Linked DNA regions of Ovis aries. The protein of the gene in region 2 purifies or fractionates together with the protein of the main gene of each other region. This does not show direct contact. Links are inferred from orthologs where the notes say so. Each region holds a gene or a part of one and is shown on either strand. Other genes may lie near its edges.

What was found.
Region 1: the proteins of LNPEP (region 2) and CANX purify together in Homo sapiens (affinity purification with mass spectrometry; 3 studies listed by BioGRID and IntAct, with this or other methods). This does not show direct contact. The link is inferred for Ovis aries from reciprocal best matches to the Homo sapiens genes LNPEP and CANX.

The regions. Positions count from the first base shown.
Region 1 is NC_056058.1:1,408,521-1,412,985, forward strand, and holds the start of CANX (calnexin), read right to left. Parts: upstream 2,866-4,465; 5' UTR 2,684-2,865; intron 1-2,683. UniProt on the Homo sapiens protein: Calcium-binding protein that interacts with newly synthesized monoglucosylated glycoproteins in the endoplasmic reticulum. It may act in assisting protein assembly and/or in the retention within the ER of unassembled protein subunits.
Region 2 is NC_056058.1:94,053,864-94,057,676, reverse strand, and holds part of LNPEP (leucyl-cystinyl aminopeptidase), read right to left. Parts: intron 2,571-3,813; coding exon 2,457-2,570; intron 869-2,456; coding exon 734-868; intron 1-733. UniProt on the Homo sapiens protein: Release of an N-terminal amino acid, cleaves before cysteine, leucine as well as other amino acids. Degrades peptide hormones such as oxytocin, vasopressin and angiotensin III, and plays a role in maintaining homeostasis during pregnancy.

The DNA.
Region 1 (4,465 bases), about 93 Mb from region 2:
ATAAGAAACTTGGAAAAAAAAAAAAAAGAAACGAAGTCTTAGACTGAAAAGGAACCACTTCAAAAGAATTTGACTCCAGTCACAGATAACCATTTTACTACTACTTTTCATTCCTCTGGATTACATCTAGCCACAACATCAAAGCACTTAATAGTGGGAGGGAAGTACAGAAAACTCAAAGGGGTCCTTACTGTAAATGCTCATCCACTAAAAAAATAGATGTACACTGCCTAGTTCAGTTCTGAATTTTGCTTTTCATTGACAGGAACATTAAAATGTATCTTCCCATAGCACTTTCCTTTTTTGTATAAACTAAGTGGATTTAAAACGTGGATTCCCAAAACATTACTGAAGATTCTAAGTTACTTAAAAAAATTAAATTCTCCAAATAATTTTCACAGTTAAGCTTAATTTAAAAATCATCTGTTATAGTTAACAAAGCACTCAGCCTGCACTTTTCTGACAAAGTTCTACTGTTATAGTTAACAAAGCACTCTGACAAAGTTCTACAGTGAGCTGTACAGGTTGTAACTATGTGCAGGCACTGTTATTATTTCCTAGGAGTTGTTATGAGCTGCCAATTCTTCTACTTGCATAGTTCATTACTCCATTCAAAGCAGTTTCCTGTTCACCATCTTATCTGTCTCTCCTAAAAGATCCCTAATGGTAAGGTATCCTGGGCACTGCGTTTTAAAGATATGGAAACTAATGTTGTTCATTATGCTAGTTACCTCGCTGGGCCTGGAATTCAGGCTCCAGCCTGCATTTCTGCTTACCAACTCTCACTTCATCCCCTTAAGCTATCTCTCAGGGCAAAGTGAACTCTGTAACTGAAAGGATGCAAGAGCATGATTGCCAAAACTGCAGCAACAACCTCTGTCAAAACGTTTACCCCTCAAGGTCCTTGGAAGATAATGTGCTAGTTGAAACTGTTGAGTTAAGATAGTCAGGTAGGGAGATACTGACACTCATTATCAGACAGGTCAGGAAATGCGCTTGCTGCGCCGCACATTTACTCCAGTACACCGTTCATTCTGGCCATCTCATAATCCAGTTCCCTGACTTGTTTGCTTGGGGTGCTGCACAGAACTCCCACACAATTCTCTACCTCTGCTCTTACTACAGCAAATGGACAACTCCGCAGTGATTCTATTCATGGCACTTAAACATGGCTGTTAAAAGACTGACATACAGAATGATCTTAAAGATCAATACAGTTCCTCCCTTTTAAAAAAAACCCGAAACAAAACAAATCCTCCCGCCCACTAATTCTTATTTAAAAAACTAAGCAAAGTGTTCCATTTCCTAACTCAGAGGTAAAGAAACCTAACTGTGGCTCACCTTTGTCCCCCCAAGCTTTTAATATTCAGCTCAGTTTAACTTCCTCCAGCCAGCATTCACTTGTGTCATACCCAGCAGTTAATCCACTAAGTCCAGTTTCTTCCTCCTGTATCCATTAAGGTGACTTCAGGTCCCAGAACTTAACCAACTCAAAAAGGAGGATGTTGATGTAGGGGACCAACATCACTCAGGCCTTAATTTATTTAAATCATCTATCAAGTAGTCAAAGTCTCTCCTGTCCTTTTTTATACACAGTTTAGTGGCTCAGAGGATAAAGCGTCTGCCTGCAATGCAGGAGACTCAGGTTCAATCCCTGGGTTGGGAAGATCCCCTGGAGAAGGAAATGGCAACTCACTCCAGTATTCTTGCCTGGAGAATCCCATGAACAGAGGAGCCTGAGCAGGCTACAGTCCCCGGGGTCGCAAAGAGTCGGACACGACTGAGTGACTTCACTTCACTTTAGTTCTAACCCCACCACCATCAGATTTTATATCCATTATTTGGAGAGAAGTAGGGTACAGAGAAGTAAACTGCCTAAGTTCATATAGCAACAAACGACAGATTAACGACCTGAACCAGGGCCTTAGCCTTAACCATCAAAACTGCCTCAACTAAAACTCCAACGTGATCATAAAATTAAGCCCATGACCTTGAGCCAATCATTTCAGAGCTCTGGGCCTCAAGTTTCCTCCACTATAAAATGACTTGCCCAGAGAGCTTTCGGGTGCTTTCCTGCCAGTCTTTGTGAATTTACAAACGAGATTACTTTCTCCTCATCCATGAAGAGATATAATTAAATGTCAGGGCCTAAGTTTTCCAGCCCCTGCGTGTTCTAGCACATTCTCCATACTCCACTCTTCACTCTGTGATTTTAACTTTCAAATACTGAACCTCTAATGCTAAATATTCTCTCTCGGCCCACTATCAACTCTTCCCCACTACAAGGGACATCGACTAGGCCCGATCCTATTCCAGACCTTTACCCAGTTACTCCGGGCACTTCCCAGCTTCACAGGTAGCCAGCAATAGGCTTAAGAAAGCCCTAGAAGCAAAGCCAGAAGGAGAAGTTAGCTTTCTCAGAGGTCAAAGGAGGTTCTAAGGCACCTGCCACGCCTCCCGACCCCGGTGGCGCGGCCTGGGCCTGGCTCCCTGACTCAAGCGGCCCAGGTCCCGGCCTCACACCACACGGCCGGAGCGCCAGACTGGGCCTGAGCTTTCGAAACCCAGCCGGACCCCACGGCCCCGGCCACGCCCGGCTCTCCAGGCCCCCGGTGGCGGCGCCGCGCATCCAGGCCCCCAAGAGTCCTCGCAGGCCCGAACACAAGCAGGCCTCCCGTCTCACCTCGAGCCTCAGCGGGACGGCCGGTGGCGCCCTCGCCTGCTCCCACCCGCACAACCGGCCCCGCGCCGCAGAGAACACAGCCGCCGAGGCAGCGCAGCAGCTGAAGCCGCACGACCGTCACGTGCCGCAGCACCAAGAGGCCTTGACTCCCGCTGCCGCCGCGCGAGCTAGCCCCAGAGCACGAAGCCCGGCCCTGCGCCCGCCCCTCGCTCCTGAGTAGCTACAGCTAGCGCCAAGGCCAGCGCCCCCGCGCCAGCTTCTGAATTCAATTGGTCAGTGCGACCATCGCTCTGAGGACTTTCCCTTACGCCCCCTAGGGCTATTCTTCGTGGAGCGTGGGGATTGGCTGGGAGTGAGGCAGGAAGTGGCCGTTGGTTGGGCGGTACGGAAGGGGGCGGGCTGGGGCGGAAAGGAATACTCCCGGGCGCGCGCGCCCTGTGGCGGGACCAGCCCTTCAGGAGTTCCCGCGCGCGGTTGCGCTGGTTCCTTAGTGGGCGCGCTTCCAAGAGTTGCATCTCGCTCTGTGTCTGTGGTTCGCACACCTTCTGTGCCTAGACCCGGGCCTCGGAGTCTGGCACTCCGTTCCCTTCGTTGGAGGTCAGATGTCAGCTGGCAAGGAGGGATGGGAAGTCTGGTGAACCATCGGGAAGGGCCTTGCCCCCGATGCAGCGAGTGCCCAGCGCCAACGGCTCCCTCGCTCCGGCCTAAAGTCGACTGCACTGCGCTGTGTAAGCAGGCGCCGCGGTTCCTGCAGTGTCATTGCTCTAGGCCCAGCAGCCTGAGGCCACCTTGTTACCCAAGCTCAAATACAGTCCGCAGTACTACGCTGCAGGTTTATTTCAGTTTTCAATTTGTGATGTTTTCCTCAGTAAAATTATACAGAAAGGGCACAGAGACACACTGACAATATTGAGAGAAAAAGATGGTGCGATGGAAAGATTTCAAACACACCGCAAGTTTTGTAATTCACTTTGAGCATATTTTCAGTTTTGAATATGCTGAGAACCTCAGAAAATTGAAATGGTCTGTGGGTTTTTTTAGACCTTTATGTGTCCTGGTTTCTGTCGTCCATTTGTTTGGATACCCAAAGGCTGAATGGTAGGGTGAAAAAAAACTGTATTTGGTAAATGTAGCAACTACCATTGGCTTCCCAGGTCATGACAGCAGTAAAGAACCAGCCTGCCAGTGCAGGAGACTAAGAGGCCTGGTTTCATCCCTGGGTCCAGTAGATCGGCTGGAGGAAGGCATGGCAACTCACTTCAGTATCCTTGCCTGCAGAATCCCATGGACAGAGTAGCCTGGCAGGCTACACTCCATTGCACAGAGTTGGACAGATCTGAAGCAACTTAGCAAGCGTGCGTGCGCGCAGACACACACACACACACACACACACACACACACACACACACACACACCCCCAGTTTTTTCAGTTCACTTGCTCAATCCTGTCCGACTCTGCGACGCCATGGACTGCAGCACACCAGGCTTCCCTGTCCATCACCAACTCCCTGAGCTTGCTCAAAATCATGTCCATTGAGTCAGTGATGCCATCCAACCATCTCATCCTCTGTCATCCCCTTCTCCCGCCTTCAATCTTTTCCAATATCAGAGTCTTTTCAAGTGAGTCAGTTCTTCGCATCAGATGGCCAAAGTATTGGAGTTTCAGCTTCAGCATCAGTCCTTTCAATGAATATTCAGGACTGATTTCCTTTAGGATTGACTAGTTGGAGCTCCTCGCAATCCAAGGAACTCTCAAGAGTCTTCTCCAGTGCCATAGTTCAA
Region 2 (3,813 bases):
AAAAATACTCTGTACCGTTCCCTTAGCACACATTCTTTCTTACTGCTTCACAAGTACTCCCTACCTAAACTCCGCATTTCTTGATGACATGAACTGTAACCCATATGCTTTGTATATCTTTGTCTTTGTTCAGGATGGGAATTCAATTTATTGATCTTAATCTGGTAGCCAGACTAAGGAGGCAAGTAAGCTATAACATTCAGCCCTCCTTCCCTACACAAATGTGATATCCCCCTCCCCTCTTCTCTGACTTAGGTGATCCTAATCAGGACTTTCAATTTCTGTTTTTGCTTTACTTCCAAACCTGCAGTCTAGGTTTCTAATTCTACAATAGAGTCTTTGATTCGTAAAAATCTCCTTTTGTCTACCTGTTTTGGCAATTCTGACTTTGGAACACACTTCAGTCCTGAATGACACAGCCAAAGGCTTAGAGCCTCCCCTGGACATATTCCACCTGTAGATCTGGACAGTTATCCAACTTTAAAAGATCTATTACTGTAAGATCTGGTTAACTAGCCAGAATACTAGTTAGAGAACTTAAGAGACAGAGAAAGAAAGAAGAACCTAGATCAAGTTAAGATCAAGATTTAAGTAGAAGCAAACATCTTAAAAATTAACAGGAAAATTGAAAATAATACTTGTCTAGTCTTTAAAACAATCTAAATCAGTCAGCTTGCTTTCATATGAAATTAATTTGTAACCCACTCCAGGTACTTTTTGTGCATGGCAATACCTTAAAGTAGGAAAGAGAATCAAACATTTCCTCAATCTGTTCTGAAGACTGAACAGATGATGATGATATTGGATGGGATGAATTCAACGCATCTTTTCTCATTGTTTTAAATCGAGCATCTAAGAAATCTTCATACTACAAAAAATGAAACAGAATAAAGAAACTGTGAACAGTATTAAAGACAGAGGCAAGTTTAGTAATTATTGATAGGAATTAGACTAATTACTGTTTAAGGTCATTATAAAAAAAATCAACTAGCTTCACTAAACTTTAGAAATAATCTGTTGAAGATATAGGAAGAATGTGACATTTATGCATATTTGTTAAATTTGAAAATAAAATTACAACTTCCACAAAAATCAGTGTTCCCTAAACAACAACACAAGGATACATTAAGAGTTTATTACTAAAGCGACCATATGCTAAATCCAGTTGTTCAAATGATTATTTAGAAATGGCTAGTGAATATTTGTAAAATAAAATCTTAAATTAAAAAAAAAAAGGAACTGCTCCTTAAGTTGATTTCTCATACATAATCCAGCTTTTCTATTGAGATAATATACATTTCCCTTGACTGAGGCTATTCTTAAGTAAAATATAAGTCTTAAACAGAAAGGAGTCTGAGAGTTCAACAGACCAGTTCCTCTAGAATATATACTAAAAGCTTTTAAACATTCTGGGCACCACCAAGTGGTGAAACTGTATATCTCTTTGTTTAATTAAGACCCATACCCAGATTTACATTACTTTGCTTATTAATATTCAAGCTTAAACTGACTTCATTTTACCATTTGAAATCTTTGAATAGGCCCTACACAAAAATTTCAAACTGAAAGCTCTGAGAGTACTCATCTTTTGAAGCACTTTTGGATCATACAGTCAAGAAGCTTAATAGAAAGTCACAGAATTCTATAGTAGAAACGGATTCTTATACTTTTCCATTTACTGCTTGAATTATTCCACAATATCTGTCATGTATGACCTATGCTGCGTGCTTAGTCGCTCAGTCGTGTCTGACTCATTGCAACCCCATGGATTGTAGCCCGCCAGGCTCCTCTGTCCATGGGGATTCTCCAGGCAAGAATTCTGGAGTGGGTTGCCATGCCCTCCCCCCATATAGGACTTAGTATGTCCAAATCTCTCTAAGGAGAAGAAACATCTCCGGAGAGTCTAAGAACACAGTAACAACATCATCATGCTCTCTGTAACAGAATGGGGTTCCACGGCTTTGAAACGGGCACAAAATATGGTTTGGACCTAAAAAGAGCAAATTATTTGTCTCGCTGTGTATCACTGTTGTAAGAATGATCACAGTGATAATAGCATTGCCACAAAATGTCTTCATTTCTTCTCTATAAGGAGTATAAAAAGTTTTGTTTTGCAAATAAAAAAAAATGCTTTCCAACTCTATCTAAATTCCTTAAAGCAGAAGGGCCACATCTATTAAACACAGAATTTAGCAAAGCAATTTGAAATGTTCATCTTAATGACAAAGTATAAAATAATTTCACATTATTTCTGCTTTCTGAAATCCATCAGTAACTAAAAGCACAATTTTCACTGTCAAATCTCAAGAGGTATAGAGATCAGTAACAAGTCAGTTTTATTGTATTTTTCTAGAAATATTTTCATTGCTCCAAATGCATGGAAAATACATGTCCAGTATGATTGGACTATTTTTCTTCCTGGCATTCACAGGAGGCCTAACAAACAGCGTACTTACACTGGAGAGCTCTCCGAATATTTTTTCCAAAGAGAAATACTCCATGAATGTAGCAAAGCCTTCATTCAGCCACAGATCATTCCACCACTGCATTGTCACCAGGTTACCAAACCACTGCGGGAAAGAGCAAACAGCTAACCAACTTCACATTCTCAAGACTTTTCTAATAATCGAATTGTCAGATTAATCGCCTATGACCAGATTACCACTACTTAAAAGTATACTTATTGCAGTTAAAGCAAACTATATTCAACTTTAAGTCTTACAAATACATTGCATTTGTGATATAAATTTACTTTAAAAGTAAAACTGTATACATGGAGTAAATTCACTTTTAAAGTAAAATTATAAATTTAACATTTTACCTTACATAAAACAAACAAAGACAACTGGCTTATTTATCAGTTTAACAGACATGCTGTATAGTAGGTAGACAAAAACTGTTTTTAGTCACCTCATTAAAACATTTCCTAGATAAATTCCTCTACTTTCTAGTATCAAGTTAGTAATATTATTTTCCATCATGTCTACAATCATCATGACAACCCAAAAACGAACGTCTGTATGAGGGATGTTCCTATAGTCAGAGAGCCTGCACTGCATGCTTCTCCTCAGTTACCACATTGAGTATTTACATGATTCAAAACAGAATTCAAACAACATTCCCTAAGAAATTTGGCATGCATACAAATAAATAAAATCAGAAAGACTTTTAAATGGCTTTTTTCCATGAAGTAATAAGAAGGAAAAAGAAGATGAGACACCCCTAAAAAAATTCATCTCAAAAATCCCTGAAATGAAGCGTGGCCAATAAAAAGCGTGCAGTTCAGTCACTGTGGCCAAGGGCTCGGCTCAAACCATCAGCAAAATGACAAGATTACTAGGTACTGAAACAAAGCTCTATGGAGAATCACAAAAGCATATTTTCAAAGATTAATATCTTAAAAACCTCTTTCAGAAGAAGATGACTTCTAAGTCGTAAAGAAGTACAAAGGAAACACTCCTGCTGTGGTGATGGCCGGCCCCAGGAATAACAGACCTGGAGCAGATCCCCTAAAAAACAGTTTGAATACGTGCGTAACTGTAAGAGCAAATACGCACACGCTTCATAAGCCAGCCTGTCGAGAAGTCCTCACAAGGCCCGGTGCGCTGGGGCTGTGGCTGAGGTAGGCGGCCAACCGGCCAGAGCACGCCCCACTCTCGCCCACCTCCTCCCACCGTCGCGACACCCCGGTCGGTCCACCCCACCCTGATGAGCACTGCATTGAGGGCACGAGAGGGACCAGGTACCGGGGAAGAAAGAGTGAGGGTCACGCACCCATATAATTTTCCTTCCTTTTCTCTACATCATCCAGAG